2 linked regions of the Sus scrofa genome follow. The protein of the gene in region 2 binds, or shares a complex with, the protein of the main gene of each other region. Links are inferred from orthologs where the notes say so. Each region holds a gene or a part of one and is shown on either strand. Other genes may lie near its edges.

Evidence for each region.
Region 1: the proteins of ZC3HAV1 (region 2) and KHNYN are in contact, whole or in part, in a crystal structure (PDB 9BGL), measured with the Homo sapiens proteins. The link is inferred for Sus scrofa from reciprocal best matches to the Homo sapiens genes ZC3HAV1 and KHNYN. Residues at the interface, in NP_064504.2 of Homo sapiens: Glu5, Val6, Cys8, Phe9, Lys12, Ile13, Ala16, His17, Glu29, Ile30, Ala31, Leu32, Leu113, Glu115, Phe118, Ser127, Gly128, Leu129, Asn130, Glu133; in NP_001277186.1 of Homo sapiens: His651, Lys652, Asp654, Phe655, Gln658, Arg659, Pro661, Tyr662, Asn677, Phe678.

Annotation. Positions count from the first base shown.
Region 1 is NC_010449.5:74,867,057-74,877,517, forward strand, and holds the start of KHNYN (protein KHNYN), read right to left. Parts: upstream 5,429-10,461; 5' UTR 5,110-5,428; coding exon 4,998-5,109; intron 1,388-4,997; exon of another isoform or gene 248-1,387; coding exon of another isoform or gene 50-247; intron 1-49. Other genes in the region: CBLN3 (cerebellin-3 precursor), read left to right, coding at 50-247.
Region 2 is NC_010460.4:10,525,905-10,536,530, forward strand, and holds the start of ZC3HAV1 (zinc finger CCCH-type antiviral protein 1), read left to right. Parts: upstream 1-3,901; 5' UTR 3,902-6,105; exon of another isoform or gene 6,106-6,252; 5' UTR 6,253-6,617; coding exon 6,618-6,925; intron 6,926-10,626.

The sequences.
Region 1 (10,461 bases), on a different chromosome or scaffold from region 2:
TCCTGGGGCGAGGGGCAGGGACAGGTGCTAACTGGGCTTCCCTCTGCAGGTAAGCCTGATGCTGAACACATGGCCTGTCGTCTCGGCCTTTGCCAATGACCCAGACGTGACCCGGGAGGCAGCCACCAGTTCTGTGCTACTGCCCCTGGATCCTGGGGACCGGGTGTCTCTGCGCCTGCGTCGAGGGAACCTACTCGGTGGCTGGAAATATTCGAGCTTCTCTGGCTTCCTCATTTTCCCACTCTGAGGGCTGAAGCTTTTCAAAGACAGAAATCTAGCCCCTGACCTCTGCCCTCTACCCTTTCCTGCCCCAGAAGCAGTCTCTTTAGGGCAGGAGAAAGACTCCCTCTGGCTGCCTTTATTCCACTGCCTTGCATGGGACCCTGTGCCAAACATCCAAGGTGAGGAGTAGAGCTGCAGTGTCTTGGGACCTGTCCCTCTTACCCCACCCCCACAGTTGCCTCCCAGCCTCCCACTGCCTTGATTTCTGCCTGCAGCCCTAGAATCAGAGCAAGATTTTCCAGGGAGGGAGGCGTAGACTACTTTGCAGTCTCTGCTTCCTGTCCTCCACCCCCAACCCAGCTTCCCGCTCAGTGCTATTTGGGAACAGGTGGTACAGGTGAGCCTGACAGGCCCCTACAGGGGACCAGATGGACCAGCTTCAGCATATCCGGCAGGCTCCTTCCTGTGAGGAGTGCCAGCATCACAAATCATACTCAGAAGCTGAGCCAGCACTGCGAGGACTAGGGCCAGAGGCTTAGCCACCAGCAGATGCATGGTAAGGGCCACAGAGCAGCCCAGAGCCTGTAGCTGGTAAGGCAGGAAGGGGGCGTGCCCTCAGCCTGAACATGGTACACATTTTTTTGTGTACATTGGAGCCACCAGCAGATAGTGAACCCCAGGCATTTATCTGTGCCAGATCCCAGGTGGACTCTGCCCCTCACCTCCCCATCCAAGACATGGATATATGTTTGCTTTGGCAGAGAGCAGGTAAACAGAGCTTCCTTTGGCAGCTGGAGGTGGAGGCAGGTCACATGTGGGCAAGTATAGATCTCCAGGCCATGGAACACATCAATGCCTGTGGCCGCCTCCTAGAACTGCTCCATCTATGTAGTCGGAACTTTCATCACTCCATGCTCTCCCCATCACCTCCTTCCTCCCAGCTCTCTCAGTGACCTTCACTGTAGCTGTTCTACACTGACCTGCAACGTCTCCTCTTTCTCTTAATTTGTGCCGTCTTAGTCTCCTTCCTAAACTTCCTATTACCTTGGATGCCATGATTCATCCCTTCAGCCACTCTCCTGCCAGTATTAAAAAACTTGTGTCACCTCTCTGTCCCATTGGCCCAGCATGGATGAATCTATCAATAAAGTAATTAGAGAATGATGGTCAATGAGACCCTATAGGATCACTAGAGAGAGAAGATGCCATCACAATTGGGTTCAGGGGTTACAAGAGACCAGCAGGTATATGTTGTAGAGAAAATAAATGTAAATTCATATGTTAGAGTCAAATTTAAAAAAAAGGATTTGGTAGTACTTGAGTTAAAGAGGAAATACCAATGTGAGTTTGTGGTTTCCAAAAGAAATAACTTTTTCAAATTTTGTCACTAAAGTAGTGTAGGAACAACATCAGGAAAAATCTAATATGCATTCTTAGCACCTGGATCTTTGCCTCAACTATTATTCACCTTTAAAAGGACTCACGGTCCCTTGGAGAATAGCTCATCATAAATAACTCTAGGCTTGGAACATACTATTGAAGACAAAAATCAAAGATATTTTTTGAATGTAAGGGGTAGAGCTGAGAAGGCATTTCTTGGGCCACTCCTGCGGCATATGGAGGTTCCCAGGCTAGGGGTCGAATCGGAGCTGTAGCCGTTTGCCTACACCAGAGCCACAGCAACACAGGAACCGAGCCACATCTGCAACCTACACCAACGCCGGATCCTTAACCCACTGAGCAAGGCCACGGATCGAACCTGCAACCTCATGGTTCCTAGTCGGATTCGTTAACCACTGAGCCACGATGGGAACTCCAAAGAAACCATTTTAATAGACTTCCACAAACTGACATTTTATGACAATTGGATAATCAAAAGAAAAATGATATAGTTAATTGGAACAAGGTGATTTTTTTTGGCTGCACCCATGGCATGCAGAAGTTCCTGGGCCAGGGATCAAACCCTTGCCACAGCAATGACCCGAGCCATAGCAGTGACAAAGCTGGATCCTTAACCCACTGAGCTGCCAGGGAATTCCACAAGGTGAATTTTTAAAAGCCATGTCTCTGTTGTGATTTTCAAAAGGAAAAAGTAACTATACAATGTGCAAAAAGGTAGTTAATACACTGAGTGAAGAAGTATGACTATTATAGGATATTTTTTAATTAGTTTTGATAAGTAGAAGAGTATAAATATAGTAGATAATTTATCTATTCATAAAGTGCATTTATTTGTCTTTATCTGCATAAGTAGGAAGGGGTGGATCCAGAGAGCTGTGAGTAATTCCAGAAAAAGTTGGAACTGCACCAAAAATGAAAGAGACTGATTGGCACCATCAGGTCAAATAATACAACTAGGAAGAAAGTCCAACAACTTGTTACATGATGATAAATTAGTCAAACTTCCAGAAGCTAACTGCTCACTCCTTAAACTTGATCCTTCACTTCTTGGAAAAGGGAAACTTTATACTACTACCCTACTAATTACAAAGAGATTACAGTAACAGAAAAACCCAAAATAATAATGGCTTAAACAAGGTGGTAGGTTATTTCCCTCTCACACAGAAGAATCTGCAAACAAAGAGTCCAGGGAAGGATGGCAGTTTGATGATCATCAGCCTGGCTTTCTTTATTGCCACCTCCTGACCCAAGATAGCCCCAGCCATTGCATCAACCTTATAGCCCCAAGGAAGGAGGAGGGACTGGCACACCCATTTCCTTTTAAAGAAGCTTTCTGAAAGGTACACCCAACAGTTCTATTTGCATCTCAATGGCCCGAATTTAGTCCTAGCTGGCCACACCAGACAGTGGAGACAGGCTAGGGAATAAAGTCTTTATTCCAGGCAGCCACGCTCAGCTAAAAGTCAGAAGAAGAAAAGATTGGATATTGGGAAAAACAACAAGATTGAGGATGTTTGTAAAAATGCAAATGAGGTAGATAAATTTGAAAATAATGTCAGTAAAGTTATTGTATTAGCTTTCTATTGTTGCATAACAATTACCACAAAGTTACTGCCTTAACACAACTTTGACCTATTTAATATCTGTTTCTATAGGTCAGAAGTCCAGCAGAGCATGATTTGATTCTCTGCTTAGGGTTTCATTAGGTCAAAAGCAAGATGTAGGTAGTAGCCCTGCCTTCTTTACTGAAGTGGAAGAATGCCATTACATCAACCTTATAGCCCCCAGGAAGGAGGAGGGAAGGGCACACCCATTTCCCTCTTGGGTCAGGAGGTGGCAATCATGAATAAAGAATTCACTCAGCATTCATTTCCTTATGGTTGTAGGACTGAGTTTCCTGGCCTCCAGCCTTTGGGTCAATAGTGTCAGGCCAAGTCCTTCTAACAGTTTGAACCTCTCCAACCTAGCTTTCAGCCACATCTCTGACTTTTAAAATTCTCAAATTTAAGGTAATTAGATTGGGCCCACATGGATAAATCAGGATAATCTCTCTGTTTTGAGACCCATAACTTTAATTGCATATGAAAATGTCTCTTTACCATTAAACACAACATATTCGGTGGCTCCAGGGAGTGGGCATAGACATCTCTGGAACATCTGCATATCATAGTCCTTAGACCTAAAAATGACAGGAGATCCTGTTGTGGCTCACTAGGTTAAGAACCTGACTAGTATCCACGAGGATGTGGGTTCAATCCCTGGCCTCACTCAGTGGGTTAAAGTATTTGGCATTGCCACAAGCTGCCTTATAGTTCGCAGACAGGGCTCAGATCTGGCATTGCTGTGGCTGTGGTGCAGGGCAGCAGCTGCAGCTCCGATTGGTCCCCTGGCCTGGAAACTTCCATATGCCAAAGATTCAGCCAAAAAAAAAAAAAAAACCCACAAAACTTAAAGACATCATTTTAAAAAAGAGGCATCCAGTTACATTACACTAATTCATGGAAATGAATGGAAAAGGTACTGGAAAATGAAAATTCCGGTGATATATAAGATAAGCACTGGCTCAGATATTCAACATCTTAAAAGGTAAAGCAGGTCCCAACCAAGAACTCATTGAGTAATAATTCAAAACCTCATCTACACTGAGATACTATTCATCTTTTGTCTATCCAGACTCAAAAATTGGTCTGAACTGAGATAGTGTCCTTCTCCTGGGTCTATAAACCCAATTTTATAGTAAGTGTAGGTGTCATATACTTTATAATCCTTGAAAGGCATGTGCTTTACCAAAAGATTTGATGCCTTTAGAGAAGCTGACATACTACCCTGATGACTCTATTGAAATGTGTAGGAGAATTTAAGTTTTCAGTCAATGTTTAAATGATCTGATTTGTAAAATGTGTAGATTTTGGCTCATTGGTTATATAAATGTTTAGACAATTTTTGCTTAAGCAGGTTTATGAAGCAAATGAGTTAAACAATAAATAAAGCACAGATGGTGGCTAGTGTTCCTCTCCAGGCACTAAAATCTCCTAGGACTTTGAGGAGCCTAAGAATAGAATCCAACTGTCGACCTTTCCTACACCCACGCCCTGGCAGCTGCTTTCTACAGAGAGAAGTCCGGCTGAAGCATTTGCTGCAGCTCTCAATCCATGGTCTCCAGCCACCCCTGGTCCTCAATCCTCCAGTCAATTCTTCTTTGCCAGCTTCTTTCCTCATTCTCCCTGGAATCCAACTGAAGCCTTCTGGTCTCTCAAACCTTTTACCCTCCAACTCTGCCCCCACTGCCAGCAGCAGGTACCTCACTTTCTGCTTCACCAAGAAAGCAGAAGCCCCAGGAGGACCCCTTCCCAATGGCACATCCAGAAACTCACCATCCTCCTCATCTCTCCTTCTTCGCATCTGGCTCAGTAGAAGCTGTGCCCTTTCTTCTGTCAAGGCAGCTATCTTCATCCACCAGCTGTGGATTTCATTTCCTGCAAACATATCCTTTTCCTTTCCTCTTCACCCTCCTGAATGTTCAGTGTCTCCCTCCCTCTCACTGCTTCTGTTTAGCAGTTAAATAGACTCAAGTCTCTTAGGTCTAGACGAGAAAAGGATGGTATGGCAATAGCGGTGGGTATATAGTTATCCTCAGCTTTATATGCCCCCGCAGCTAGTAGACATCACCTCTCCTCTCCTTTAGAGCCAAGTATCTATGCTTACCAGTTGCTCACCCCTTAAGTCAACGGTAGCCTCTGCTGCTCCACCTAAACTGCCCTCAACTGGTCACTCATGACTTCTGTGTCAGTCACCAATGTCACTATCATCCAGTCCTCTGTTACTCAGGCTCTCCCTAACATTTGACTCTGTTGTCCACTCCCTCCTTCTAGAAGCAACTCCCTGCCCCACCTGACTGCATGCTCTGGGTGCTCCCTCCATGTCTCTGCTCAGACCACATTCTTTTTTACGCTCCTGTACTGCTAAACATCTCCCAAATGTCAGTTTTCCTCAAGGTTCTGCCTTAGGATTCCTTTCGTCCTGACACAACCTCGAAAGTACGAATCTCCATCTGTGCTCTGACAATGACCACATTTTTGTCTCTATACAGGACCTCCCTCCTAAATCTCAGACTCCTACACTACCTATCCCACCTTAAAGTCAACCTGCTAAAATTAGTCTGTCCTCCCTAAATCCTGTCTTTCTCCCTTTCTCTGTGTTTAAAAAAGGAACATCCCTGTTGCCCAAGCAGAACCCCAGCCATCATCCTCGATTCCTCTCTGTCCAATCACTCACATCCACCAGGTCCATCCATTGTTTCCCATCCATCCTCTCTCAAATTACCCACATCTCAGAGTTCTTTGAATGCTTCCTAACCCGCACATTGACCTCCAGTTTTGCTTCTCTGAGTCCATTCTCCACACTGAGGTTGCCATAGTGACCTATTTGAATGAACTTCACTGCTAAACCCCTTAAGGGGATCCTGGGGGAGGGGGAGGGTCTAACATCAAATCTATCACTCTGAATGTACTTTTTTTGGGCCTTTGCAATCCAGCTGCTGCAATCTCCCCTGATTCATTTTTCACTACCTACAAGAGTGTGGAAACTTATGAAACAGCACCATTTATTAGCTGAGGGAAAATGGCACCCCTCATGTGTTGGGGGACTGTAGCTGGTGCATTAAATTAAGGATATGCAGAGTATGACTTGCTGAATGAGAAGGTACAAGCCACCACATGGGATCAGTGGGTAGCTCCCTCAGCATCTGAGCTCTCCATTTGAGGAAGTGAAAAACCCATGGTTGTTTTGATTGAAGGTGCAGTACACTCACACAAAGGAAGTGATGTCGTAAGACTTATTACTCACAGATCTCAGAAACCAGGAGGGAGGAGGGGAGGCAATGAACCAGGGGAAGGGCAGTCCTCCATCTCAGTTCATATGTACACAGGATAGCAAGAACTTATTACATGCAAGGTGGTTGGGTTGGAGGTCACTAACTTTATATGAACTCAACTCTAACTGATCTTTCTTTTTCCTTTTTTCTTTTTTCTTTTTCTTTTTTTTTTTTTTTTTTTTTTTTGCTGCACCCCATGACATGTGGAATTTCCTGGGCCAGGGATCAAACTTACGCCACAGCAGTGACCCAAGTCATAGCAATGACAACACCAGATCCTTTAACCACTAGGCCACCAGGGAGCCCTCTAAGCGGTCATTTTAAAAGGTGCCCCAGGTAAAGCAAAGCAGGAATTTGGGACAGGAGTCCTAAACTTGGATCCTTATCTAAATGTCCAGACCCTGGGTTCAAGTAGGGTTGTCGTACTGTAAAATACTTAAGTGGCAACTCAAAATAGCTGTCTTCTCATTATAGCTCAGAAATCGAGGGCATGGCATTCAAGTCAAACTCTATCAGGGCCAAGAGAATCATTCTTGGACCCAACTGAATGGGTCCTATCTCCCCTTAAAGTCAACCTGCTAAAATTAGTCTGTCCTCCCTAAATCAGGTTCTGTTTTAGTTTGTAAATCATCTTAGTCTGGACCAAATTGAAAGAGAAATCTTGATATACATTATATTAATGTATATTCATACATTAATAAAAGTTGAAAAGTCCATAGATTAGTGGGAGGAAAGTAACTCTAGCAACAAAATGACTACACTTGCATGAAAGGCAGTGAACGTGGTGGTGAAGAGGTGGACACTGGAGCCTCTGGCTTAACAGCCACCCATGACCTTCAGAGAGTTACACAACCTCTCTGTGCCTAATTTTCTTCCCCTATCAATGCATTATGTTTCTTTTTAGGGCCACACCTGCAGCATAGGGAGGTTCCCAGGTTAGGGGTTCAATTGGAGCTACAGCTGATGGCCTATGTCAGAGCCACAGCAACTCAGGATCTGAGCCTCATCACTCACAGCACTGCCGGATCCTTAACCCACTGAGCGAGGCCAGGGATGGAACCCACAACCTCATGGTTACTAATTGTATTCATTTCTGCTGAGCCACAATGGGAACTCCTCCCCTATAAATGCAAAGAAATACTGTATCTACCCCCACAGGGTTGGAAAGCACAGAGCAAGTACTCAATATAGGTAAGTTACTGTTACCATACAAATTAGGAAACAAAACTGGTGCCTGTCCAAAGGACTCTAGGACAATCTTTAAAAAGTAGGTAGGATTTTTGTTTTGTTTTATTGTGGCCACTTACCTGTTACAATGCTTCTCTCTTTCAGGCATATTCACTTTTACCTAGAAACAAAAGACATCATAAATGGCCAGTAAGAAAACATGGTATAGCAAAGCTTGGGGGGTCCCCATCTCAATAGACAGTTTGTGGGCTTTTATTGGGGGGGACAGTAAAGGAGAAAAGGTTAGCTTTGTTGCTTTGCCAGGCAAAGGGGGCCACAACAGGCTAATTCCCTAAAGACTGTGTCCCTACTTTGTGGGCTTTCTAACATGAGAATGAGATACAGTGTGGGACTTTCTTTTATTTTGCTTATTTCTGGGACTGCCTGCCTACTGGGGACTTTGTTCTTTTCCTTTTCTTTTTTTTTTTTAATTAAAGTATAGTTGATTTACAATGTTGTGCCAATTTCAACTATACAGCAAAGTGACTCAGATGGGTAGATAGATAGAGACAGAGATATACAGAAATATAGATATATATAATATAGACATAGATATAGACATAGACATAGATATAGATATAGATATAGATATAGATATAGATATATTCCCTACTGGGGACTTTCTCTGTTAGAGACTTGGGAAAGTTCAGCCACCAATGTCCCAGATGAGAAGGGAGATTCATGATGGAGGGAAGCTGTGACTAATAGTCTACGGTGCCCACAGTGCTCAACTGTGGACATGTCTTCTTTATTCACTCCTCTAAAAACAGGAGGAATAATCTCAAATCAGACCTTGTAAATTGTTCAACCCTGCAAAAGAAAAATCTCGCTAAGAGGGCTCAGAAGCCATATGGGTAAAGCCTGATTATTGCTTAAAATTCCCTTGAATAGAAAGTAGAGATTTTGCTAAGTACCTTCCTAATCAATCTTCCACTTAGGAATTCTGAACCTTTCACTCATGCACTGCAGTAGCATATGCATTACTTTGGGGGGGCTGGTGGTGACGGAAGATAAACCTCTCTGAGCTGAGGCTTTGAGCCCCTGTGCTGTGGGCTCCTATGCCAGGTTCTTTCCCTTACCACCCTGCACTGTATTTGCTTGTGGAGTTGCCTCACTTACCTGACCGTGGGCAGAGACCACGCCACTCTCATCACCTGCCGTCTGTTCCACACCTGAACAGGGCCTGGCACACAGAAAGTGCTCTATAAATACTGTGTGACCATGTCTACATGAGCGCCAGGTGTCTGCTTCTTGCTGCTTTTGTCACTTGTTCAAGCTTCTGCTCAGCGCTGGCAGGAGGACGGATCTTTCTTGCCACCCTATCCTCCTGCCAGCACTGAGCAGAAGTTTCAGCAAGTGAGAAAAGCAGCAAGAAGCAGTCGTTGGAAGTCTGGAAGCTTGGCCAAGTTTAGGAAGGTCTTGGAGTCTGAGGGGCAGTAACAGCAAGGCTTCCAAGGTCAGGAAGAAACGTTGGATGGCCTGTGATTTGTCTTGGTCCATTGAGGTTGCTATAACCAAAACACTGTAGACTAAGTGGCTTAAACAACAGAAACTTATATCTCATAGTTCTAGAGGCTGGACATTCAAGATCACGGTGCCAGCAAATCAAGTGTCTGGTGAGAGCCGACTTCCTGCCTGCAGATGGCCGTCTTTTCCTTGTATCTTCAAGTGCTTGAGAGCAAGCGAGCTATCGTTTCTTTGTCTTCTTTTCTTTCTTCTTCTTTTTAGGGCCACCAATGCAGCATATGGAAGTTCTCAGGCTAGGGGTTGAATTGGAGCTGCAGCCATGGTCCACAGCACAGTCACAGCAGTACCACATCCAAGCTGCATCCCAAACCTATGCCACAGCTTGTGGCCATGCCAGATTCTTTAACCCACTGAGTGAGGCCAGGGATCGAACCTGCTTCCTCGTGGATACTAGTCCAGTTTTTGACCTACTGAGCCACAACAGGAACTCCTCTTTGCCTTCCTACAAGGACACTAATCTCATCATAGGGGCTGCACCCTCGCAAATTTATCTAAACTTAATTACCTCCAAAAAGCGCCACCTCCTGATACTATCCCACTAGGGGCTAGGGTTTCCACATGTGAACTTGAGGGACGCAAACATGCAGTCCACCTCATTGATGGAGACTTACTCCATACCCAGCACCATGGTAGCCTCTTTGCGCAGATTATTTCATAAGATCCTTGCACTATCCGTAATTTAGGAATTGTTATCCCGCACTTCATAGATGAGGAGACCGAGGCCTCAAGAAAAGTCCACATAGGTAGCAGCCACAGAGTCAGTATTCAAAGCTAGTTCTTTGGTGTTTCCATTACAGCTAACCGGTTCAGCATAGATGTCATTGTTTTACACAAGCTTAATTCATCTTCACCCCCTCCCCGCCACTCACTTCTAAAACAAAAATAGGAAGGAGCACTAGCATGAAGAAAGCCCATAGCCTGGGCTCTCCTCCCAGCTCTGCCATGAACCGGCCAGCTGGTTCAAGCTATATAAACTGGCTCAAGTGATAGAACTTGAGCTATATCACTATGTGAGCTATATCACTGGTCTTCTCATATGTAAAATAACAGCTTGAGGAGTTTCCATTGTGGCTCAGTGGTAACAAACCCAACTAGTGTCCATGAGGATGTGGGTTCGACCCCTGGTCTTGCTCAGTGGGTGAAGGATCTGGCATTGCCATGAGCTGTGGTCTAAGTCACAGACACAGCTTGGATCCCAAGTTGCTGAGGCT
Region 2 (10,626 bases):
AGGAAATAGAGGAATCAGTCCGTGAACATGGGATCTCCTGGTCCTGTCACACACCCTGGAACCCCAAAACTGCTGATAGGTAAAACACTGGAATGGTCAGAGACGCAGCTGAAGCTCTGGCATGGAGGCAATTCACTGCAGTGACGACGTTTCCTCCAGGGCATCAGAGCCTACGCCTTCCATCAGAGAATGTCTACGGTGCTGGGTTCCCAACAGAGGGAAGACCTTGGGGAAGCATGAGTGGCCCCAGCTAGTATCTTTCTAATGACTGGTTGGGGAGGAAGAAATTTTCCTCTTCTCTTCCAGGTTCTTCTGGCTGGTCTAAGAATTAAATTGACATGGGACAGATGAATAGGAGAAAAAATCACCCGAAGCTGAATAATATGTATACATGGGAGAGATACAGAAAAACTGAATAACTCCCCCCCAAGAGCTGAAAGCCTCACATTTTTATTTTTATGTTTTTTCTTTTTCTTTTTAGGGCCGCAGTTGCAGCTTATGGAAGTTCCCAGGCTAGGGGTCAAATTGGAGCTACAGCTGCTGGTCTACACCACAGCCACAGCACAGCAGATCCAAGCTGCGTCTGTGACACAAACTGCAGCTCATGGCAATGCCGGATTCTTAACCCTCGGAGCTAGGCCAGGGATTGAACCCACATCTTCATGGATCCTAGTCAGGATGGTTACTGCTGAGCTAAGACAGGAGCTCCTGACAGCCTCACCTTAAATACCATCTTTAGCTGAAGACAAAAGAGAACAGAGTTCCCTGATGGCCTAGCAGCTGAGGACCTGATGTTTGTCACTGCTATGGCTCTGGTTTGATCCCTGGCTGGGAACTTGTGCATGCACCAAGTGTGGCCAAAAAAAAAAAAAAAGAAAAAGAAAAAGAAACACCAAAGAGGAGGTTGGGGGTAGTGGTGCAAATATTTGGTAAATAAATGTTTGCTGGGTCAGCAGAGACAAGGGGACACAGAGTAGACTCTGACCTCTAGGCCCTGCTGAGAATGTCCCCTGCCACACCGAGCCCATTCTCTTTGCAGATATCTCTGGTGATAACTCTAGCTTGGGAACATGCCCTACATCTAAATTTCTTTTAGGCAGCTGAGGAAAAGCTCACAGTTTCTTCCTGAGTCTTTCAGGCCTTGATTATTTTCAGCTTGACATAATCCGCATGCTAGAGACATTTTGGGGGTGGCAAGTTTTGCTCTCCTACAAATCCACTGGGCTTCCCTGTACCCATAAGTCCAGGTTCTACAAAATTAGAGGCTTTGGTCTCCCCAAAGGGGCACATTCTTGCCCGGGGATACAGCAAAGATCCCACTGGACTAAAAGTTACAGCTGCCACCAGGCACTTTGACCTCCTAATGGTAAGAGACCTGCAGGTGAAACAAGGAATCATTGGCAATCGATGACCTTCTCAGAGGAGGGAGGGCTGCTGTGGGAGGGGCAGGGAGGAATACCTGTGCACTCCAGTGATCTATTTGGGTGTCAGCTGGTACTCTTTTACCCAGATACGACTGTGAATGTTCAAGACAAGAGCAGCAACGGTGATGTAAGAAGGTGCTCAGATCACTTAGGAATGTGGATTTGGGGTACCACCCAGGTGAGCTACTGAGACCACCTTAGGTGGGAGTGAGGGGAAATTAGAAGTGGACAGTGGTGCCATCATCAAAAAGTCCACAAATTGGAGTTGCCATCATGTCTCAGCAGTAATGAACCCGACAAGTATCCATGAGGACACAGGTTTAATCCCTGGCTTTGCTCTGTGGGTTAAGGATCTGGGTTGCCATGAGCTGTGGTGTAGGTCGTAGACGTGGCTCGGATCTGGCATTGCTGTGGCTGTGGTGTAGGCCGGCAGCTGCAGCTCCGATGGAACCTTAACCTGGGAACCTCCATATGCTGTGGGTGTGGTCCTAAAAAGCAAAAAAAAAAGCAAAAAAAAAAAAAAAAGGCTACAAATAATAAATGCTGGAGAGGTTGTGGGGAAAAGGAACCCTCCTACTGTCGGTGAGAATGTAATCTGGCTTATCCACTATGAAGAACAATATGGAGGTTCCTTAAAAAGCTAGAAGTAGAGTTATCATATGATCCAGCAATAAAAGATGGAAGCCCTAATTCAAAAAGATACATGCACCCCAATGTCCATAGCAGCCCAACTAACAATAGCCAAGACCCAGAAGCAACCTAAGTATCCATTAACAGAAGAATGGATAATGAAGATGTGGCATATATATATATATATATGGAGAGAGAGAGGAACACTCTTCAGCCATAGAAAAGAATGAAGGAATGCCATTTGTAGCATGAATGGACCTAGAGATTATCATACTAAGTAAAGTAAGTCAGACAGAGACATATTATATGATATCACTTATATGAGGAATCTAAAAAAAATAGTACAAATGAACTTATTTACAAAACAGAAATAGACTCAAAGAAAACAAACTTATGGTTACCAAAGGAGAAGGGGGGAGGGATAAATTGGGAGTGTGAGATTAACAGATGCACACTACTATATATAAAATAGGTAAACAACAAGGATTTACTGTACAGCACAGGGAATTATAGTCAATATCTTATAATAAACTATATCAGAAATGAATAGAAAAAAATAGATTTACACGTATGTATAACGGAATCACTTTGCTGTATACCTGAAACTAACACAATATTGTCAATCAACTATGTGCCAATCCAAAAAGAAAGAGAGGGAGTTCCCCTCATGGCTCAGCTGTTAACGAACCCGAATCCGAACCCGCCTGGGATCCATGAGGATGCCGCACTTTCCATATATAGAAGTTCTCCGGCCAGGGATCCATCAGATCTGAGTCACAGCTGCCAACTATGCCACAGCTGTGGCAACACTGGATCCTGGTGCATTGCACTGGGCCAGGGATGGAACTCTGCTGCTGCAGAGACAACGCCAAATTCTTAACTCAATCCGCCACAGCAGGAACTCCCTTAACTTCCCTTTTTTAAGTGTCCTTTCAGTAAGGACAGCCCATCGTGGCTGTGAAAAAAACTGAAGAAATAGATCCCCGTGGCACAAAGAGAGGACCAGATCTGACACAGAAGTCCCTCAGATTTCCCTTCAAGCCAAGGCTTGCTGCCCAGCTGCAAGGAGGGTTTTTAGATGAGAGCCTCCAGCTTTAGCTTCTTCAGGATTCACTTTAGTGACTGCACTGAAGTCAGGTACGTCTCCAGTGACCCCTGCCAATGACCAACCAAGGCAGTGGTAAAAGGATCTAGGTTTTTCTGCCCAAGCTAGACTCTGGCTCCTGTTGGGCCCACCGTAGACTTTGTCAGGGCTGCATCGCAGTCTGACAGCCCCCAGACCAACCCTTCTTCCCTTGACTTTCTCTGGTGTTACCCCCCAGGACAGCGTCTGTACCCTTAATTCCTTATCAGTGCCTGCTTCCTAGACAGCCCAATACAAATGGCGCAATGCCTGCTTTTTCCCTCTCAACATTGTTTCACAGGGTCTCAAATTGAGAAAAATTTTATAATCGTTGTTCCCTACCGCTCAAACCAAACTGTACTGTCTGTGGTCTGTGCATGCAGGTTGGAAAGAAGAATTTTCCAGACTCGTAGTGGAGGGGGTATGTGAAAAGAAAGAAGAGTTTATTGGAGTTCCTATTGTGGTGCAGCGGAAACGAATCCGACTAAGAACCATGAGGTTGAGGGTTCGATCCCTGGCTTCTATCAGTGGGTTAAGGATCTGGCGTTGCCGTGAGCTGTGGTGTAGGTCACAGATGCGGCTCAGATCTGGCATTGCTGTGGCTCTGGCTCTGGCATAGGCTGGCAACTGTAACTCTGATTAGACCCCTAGCCTGGGAACCTCCATATGCCATGGGCTCTGCCGTCAAAAAAGACAAAAGACAAAAAAAAGAGTTTATTGAGATGAGAGACGCTGTTAACACAGTGGGCCAAATTCCTGATAATCAGGGAGAGCCGACTCAGAAGAGAGGAGCTTCAGATGAGAGATGCTGTACTTGCACCCGACGATGTGCTGATGATCTGAGAGAGCCAAGGCTGAAGGCATGGCCATGTCCATTTTTTTTTTTTTTGTCTTTTTAGGGCTGTATTTGTGGCATATGGAGGTTCCCAGGCTAGGGATTGAACCGGAGCTGTAGCTGCTGGCCTACACAGGTTGCTCAAGGTGGGGGAAGGGGCATTACAGTGAGACCGGTGGGGTGATGCTAAGGGTCTGGTCATCACTTGAATTCAGTCTCCTCGAAGGGGACTTGAAGTCTAACAGTACTCTAGACGCCAGTCTCCTGTATACCCTTTGCAGCATTTAATCATGGATGTCCCTTACATTTTCATGTCTTCCCAAACACAAGTTCCTTGAGAGCAGGGATTATTTCGTAAACTTCTGTCATTTATTTTATTTTTGCTTTTTAGGGCCACACCCGAGGCATACGCAAGTTCCCAGGCTAGGAGTTGAATCGGAGCTACAGCTGCTGGCCTACACTACAGCCACAGCCACGCCAGATCTGAGCTGCATCTGCGACCCCATGGCTCATGGCAACGCTGGATCCTTAACCCACTGAGCGAGGCCGGGGATGGAACACGCATCCTCATGAATAGTAGTCGGATTCGTTTCCCCTGGACCACAGCAGGAACTTATTTTGTGAGCTTCCGTATGCCCACAGAGACCGACTAACTTATGAGCCACACAAAAGATGTTATGATGAATTTAATTGATTTGATATTGAAAGCCCAGACCCTGGGAATCTGTCAGATTATAAATCAGGCCACGTGGATTAAAGGTAACTATAAATCAGGCCATCTGTTGCTATAAAGTAATAGGTAGAGGGATGATCTGGTTGAGCTCAGTTTAGGCTGGTTTTCATAACAAAATGCTCTATACCTGAGAGACGTGGTTCGCCAACCAAGAACTGCCAATCTGAGGAGAACACCCAGTGATCATTTTACAGATTTTCTAGTTTGACAACTGGATTCTACCATTAAAAAAAAAAAGGTTTATTACCTATCTGATCAATGACCCATTTATTTCACTTGGGAATGTTGGAAGGAAAAAGGAAAAACTTTTTCCCTCCGCCACATGAGTCCATTGATTGGATCCTGCAAATTAACTGACAATAGATTAACAGGAGAAAAGGCAAAATTTATTTAGCATTGGGCGGGGGGGACTTCTAATAATGGAAACCTCCAGTGAAGGACTAAAGTAACTTTATATCTCTCAGTTTAACAAAAGGGAGGTTTTTAGGACTACAGTGGGAGAGTAGGGAAGGTTCTGCCGGGCTTTTTGATGCTAATGGCAATGGTTGATCTGTCTTCACCGCAACTGAATTAGCAGGAAACTCCCTTGGAAGGAGGTTAAGGGCAGCTGTACGTTAGGTAGGTTCTGCTTTATTCAGATTTGGAGCAGTTCAGATAAGATTTCTTTCTTCATCTTCTGTAGCTGAAACGTTTTCACTTTAAAATAATCCTAATACCAAGCCTGGGGGTGCAAGTGGGTTCCCACCGAAGGAAAAGATCTTGTCCAAACATCCGAGAAGAGGAACCTAATCTCAAGTCTTGGGATGTGTCTGAGCATGCCCGACGGTGACTGACTGCTATCCGATATTTAGCCTTGTGTGGGTCTCAGCGTCTGAGACACCTCTGTTCGCGATTATAGACAGGCAAGAATGTGTCAAGAAGCAGTTCTTCAAAAAGCTCCCGAGAGGAATTCCCCTGTGGCACAGCAGGGTAATCAACCAGCATTGACAGAGCAGCCTCTCTGGTCGCTGCGGTGGCGTAGGTTCGACTCCGGGAACTTCCACATGCCTCCATAATATAAATAAATACATACAAAAAGTTATGAGAAGGCAAAATAGGGGAAACCAATAATCACTGGCCTTTAAGAAGGCAGGGTGGTGTGGGAGAAAGTGCATAGCAGTCCCGGCCAATCTGGAGCCTGGGGGCCAGATTTGGGGAACATCCGGCTTGAGGGACGGCTGTTGTGTGCTCAGGTTACTTCCTCAAATAGAGCGAAGATAACAATATCTAGCTAGTGCAATAACTAGCTAGTACTAGTTGTGAAGACTCACCAATACAGGAGGCAGGGCGCCGGCTGGGAGCAAGTCAAGGGCTCACTCGGGTCTGTGCTTGGCGGGGATGGGGGGGGTGGTGGAGAATAGAAGACTCCTCAAGAGGGCTCCCAAGACTCGCGTTATTCGCCACTTGGGCTGGCTTTAAAACTCCCTCAGAGCCCCGAGATGATTTTTAGTTTCTCTTCTCTCCGAAGCAGCCTCGCGGTGCCCAGCTGGGGAACCTGACCTTCGCGGAGCAGAGAACCGAGAGGGAGCCGTCCGACTGTCGCCGGCGGATTAGTCCCAGCCTGTTCGCTCTCTTTCCAGTTGCTCGCCGTCGCGATTGATTTTAAGTTGACACAAGGACCGGGTCGGTGCGATCTGGACTCTCGACCCAAGCCTTGGAGGAAACCGAAACCTCCGGGCTCAGCTAACAGCGGCGGAGAGCGCACGCTCGCTCGCTCGCCCCGGGCGCGCCCAGCCCGCGCGCCGCCCGCTCCCGCCCCCGGGATTCTAGTAAGTTTCGATTCTCCCCAGAGCGGAGTCCCGCGCCGCCGCGGCCAGGCCAGCGCAGGGAGCCATGGCTGACCCGGGGGTGTGCTGCTTCATCACCAAAATCCTGTGCACCCACGGGGGCCGTATGGCCCTGGAGGAGCTGCTGCAAAAGGTGAAGCTCTCCGAGGCGCAGCTCTGCGAGGTGCTGACAACCGCCGGGCCCGACCGCTTCGTGCTGTTGGAGACCGGCGGCAAGGCGGGGGTCACCCGGTCCGTGGTGGCCACCACTCGAGTCCGGGTCTGCCGTCGCAAGTACTGCAACAGACAGTGCGGCAACCTGCACCTCTGCAAGCTCAACCTGTTGGGCCGGTGCCACTATTCGCAGTCGGAGCGGTGAGTGCCCTGAGCGGGAGGGGCGGCTCCCCGGGTGGTGGTCGGGGAGGACTCGCGGCTGCTGCTCCGGGAGGGGCGCGCCCTCGCGGGGACCTCGCACCCCGTGCCGCGTCCTCCAGACGTTCACATCTTCGCTCCCCTTCTTGCTGGGCCCGCGCTTCTTCGCCTGGAGGGTCCTTTCCTTCGGGCGCCGTCAGACCTTTCCTGAATATGGCTAGCGCGCTATTGCCCTGGTGGAGACGACGATTAACCCCACGTCCTTAAGAATAAAGTACTTTTGGGTAAACCGGGGCCTAGAGAATTTGGAAGCAGGTTTGGGAAGGAAAGAAAATGCCCCCACTCTCTGGAATCTTGAGTCTTTCCCTCTCGGTCCCTCCGCACACACCCCCCCGCCCCCCGCCCCGCTCCAGCTCCCAGGCGTTCTGTGGTCTTTGCATCCGATTCTCTCTCCACCGCAGAGGGTCCCTGCTTGGCCCTCCATCGGTGCCTCCTTTCTCCTCGTTATCATTCTTCTGATATCTGACTGTAGACCGCACCACCAGACTAGAATGGTCCCATTCAAGGTCATTGATGATGGGTCCTCCACCAGAGTTGCTTCCCCAAGACCCCCCCACCCCCACCCCGTGGTGACTCACACGGTTGACCACCCACTCTTGGGACCACTTTGAACAGGGTGGCAGATCTCCCGGGCAGCTGCTTCTGTGTTTCCACTTGTTCTTTTTTGCCTCCTGATACCGATGTGGCCCAAGGTTTGGGTTAAGCCTTTTGACGTACCTGTCTGCCAAGTCTCCCCGTGGGAGCACTCTCCCTTTGGGTTCAGTTGTCACATGTACAAAGATGGCCTCCTTGTGTACATTCGCTGTCCAGGCCTTCCTGCTGATTCTAGGTTCTTGTCTCCCGGTGTCTGAGGAGCATCTGTGCCTGCATATCTTGTCAATAGGAGTCAAATTCATCCTCTGACATGCCCCCCAACCTCTTCTGCTTCACAGTACTTTCGGGACCCCTTAATCACCCAGCCCTCCTGTTCCTGTCAGGTTCCTACTTCTCATCTCACTTCTAAATGAATGCCTTGTTGAATGAATGAGTGACTTCCTCAAACTGTCGTCTTTCTCCTCACTTTTTCTATCTGTATGTACTTCTGCTAAATTACTTTTCCTGATGTAGTACTTTTCACACTTCACCCACCCCTCCTTAAAACTTGAAGTGGTGTCTTAGTGCCCAAAAAGGGTGATCATCAAACTTTTTGTGATGCACGAATGGGCAAAAACCTTTAGATCACTCACCCCCAGTATTTGTGATAAAACAGTACAAAAAGAGATGTTTTAAATGGATGAAGTAAATGAGATGTTTTCAAAAGTTTTGTTTAGAGTAGAACTGTTAAAAAAATTTAAAAATAATGCTCTGTTGCTGTTAAAAAATATTTATTGCGTACGTTGTGATGCAACAACCGCAAAGTCTGTTTGTGAGTTTCAGGAAGTTATGCGCAGGGAAGGAGTCATCTAAGTCAGCAAGGGATGAAATCAGGAAGGAGGGAAGGAGGGAAGAAAGTAGAGAATAGAAAAGCAGAAGGAACTTTCTAAGCACTCTACTGAGTAACAATGGAGATGGAGGAGTTCCCGTCATGGCGCAGCGGAAAAAAATCCAAGAAACATGAGGTTTCGGGTTCGATCCCTGGCCTTGCTCAGTGGGCTAAGGATCCGGTGTTGCCATAAGCTGTGGTGTAGGTCGCAGATGCAGCTTGGATCTGGCTTTGCTGTGGCTCTGGCGCAGGCTGGCAGCTCCAGCTCCAGTTAGACCTCTAGCCTGGGAACCTCCATATGCTGTGGGTGCTGCCCTAAAAAGCAAAACACATACACACACACACACACACACACAACAATGGAAATGGAAGACTTTGTTATTTTTTCTGTTCTGTTGTGAAAAGTTGGTCACTAGTTAGCGTTGACTTTTGGTTTTAAATACATAGGCTTCTTATCTTTTAATTTTTCACTATGAGTATTTTCAACATACACTAAAGCAGAGAAAAGAGAATGATGAACCCCCCTGTGGCCATCGTTTCATTTCAGCAGTTTTCAAAAATGGCCGTCATTTATTCTCCCCTCCCAGCCCTATCCCCAACTCCAGCGTGTTATTTTAAACCAAATACCAGAGATCATTTGCTTCATAAATGCTTTGGCATCACCAAAAATGAAGATCTCTATTTTATTAATATACCCACGGTACAATGATCGCTTTCTTTTACAATTTTGAGGCATTCCCGTCGTGGCTCAGCAGAAACGAGTCTGACTAGTATCCATGAGGTTGCAGGTTCGAACCCTGGCCTCGATCCTCTGGTTAAGGATCCGGTGTTGTGGTGAGCTGTGGTGTAGGTCGCAGACGCAGCTTGGATCCATTGTTGCTGTTGCTGTGGCTGTGGTGTAGGCTGACAGCTGCAGCTCCAATTTGACCCCTAGCCTGGGAACCTCCATAAAAAGACAAAAAAAAATTAAAATTTTGATATCACATAGTATCCAGTTGGTGTTCAAATTTCTCTGAAATCCAACTTGCATTTTCAGGGGAAAAAACCCTACACAGACATAATCAAAAATTGTTTTAGTATGTTACAATCTAATATATTTAGAAACTTTGTTTTAATTTGTTATACATATATGTTTAGAAATTTTAGTTTTTTTGTTTATTATTTTGTTGTTGGTTTGAAACATCAGAACCATTTTAAACTTCTAAATTGGGTAGTTAACCTGCAATTTTCTATGTTTTAAAAGAGGAATGATATGGTCTATATGAATAAATGGTCTGTAGGAATAATTTGGTCTATGTAAATTTGGAGGATTCTCTGGGAAATTTATTAAAGCCCCCCCTTTTTTTGGTTGAGTGATAAATTCTTATTTCTTAAATGTATCGGTCTAGTTACATTTTTTATTTCTTTGGACATCACTTTTGAGTTTGGAAATTGCATTTTTTTTTTTTTTTTGTCTTTTTAGGGCCGCACGCATGGCATACGGAAGTTCCCAGGCTAGGGGTCCAGTCGGAGCTACAGCTGCCCGCCTACGCCAGAGCCACAGCAACACCAGATCCAAGCCATGTCTGCGACCTACACCACAGCTCACAGCAATGCCGGATCCTTAACCAACTGAGTGAGGCCAGGGATGGAACCCTCGTCCTCATGGATGCTAGTCAGATTTGCTTCTGCTGAGCCACAACGGGAACTCCGGAAATTGCACATTTTAAATCCAGTAATGTATACTCTGTCTTCATAAGGCCTCGGGAAAATTCTTTTTCTTTTATCTCAAAGCCTAAGAAATACATTTTTCCGCCAATTACGTCTTAAAATATTCTCCTCCTCTTAGCAGCTTATAAAACCTCATCTTCTAAAACTCGGCACATGGGCATCTAAGGGTTTTCTTTGTGGATTATAGGTGGATTGTTAAGATTGGTTAAGATTGTTGATCTCTGTTGAGATGACCATTCTGTTCAGTAACTGTTCTGTTTGCCAGAGGACAATTTCCCTTTTGCTGGACTTTTGACTTTTCCTCTGTAATACTATTACTTATAGATGGGATTTCTCCTGTCAATTCTGCAGTTCCAGCCTTTTCTCTTCCATTGTTTGAGCTGTATATACATTTTCGTTAACCACAGGGCTGGCTTCTGCATTGGATAGTTAGTTTTGGTCCATTGGTTTGGGTATTTCTTTTTGCTTTGCT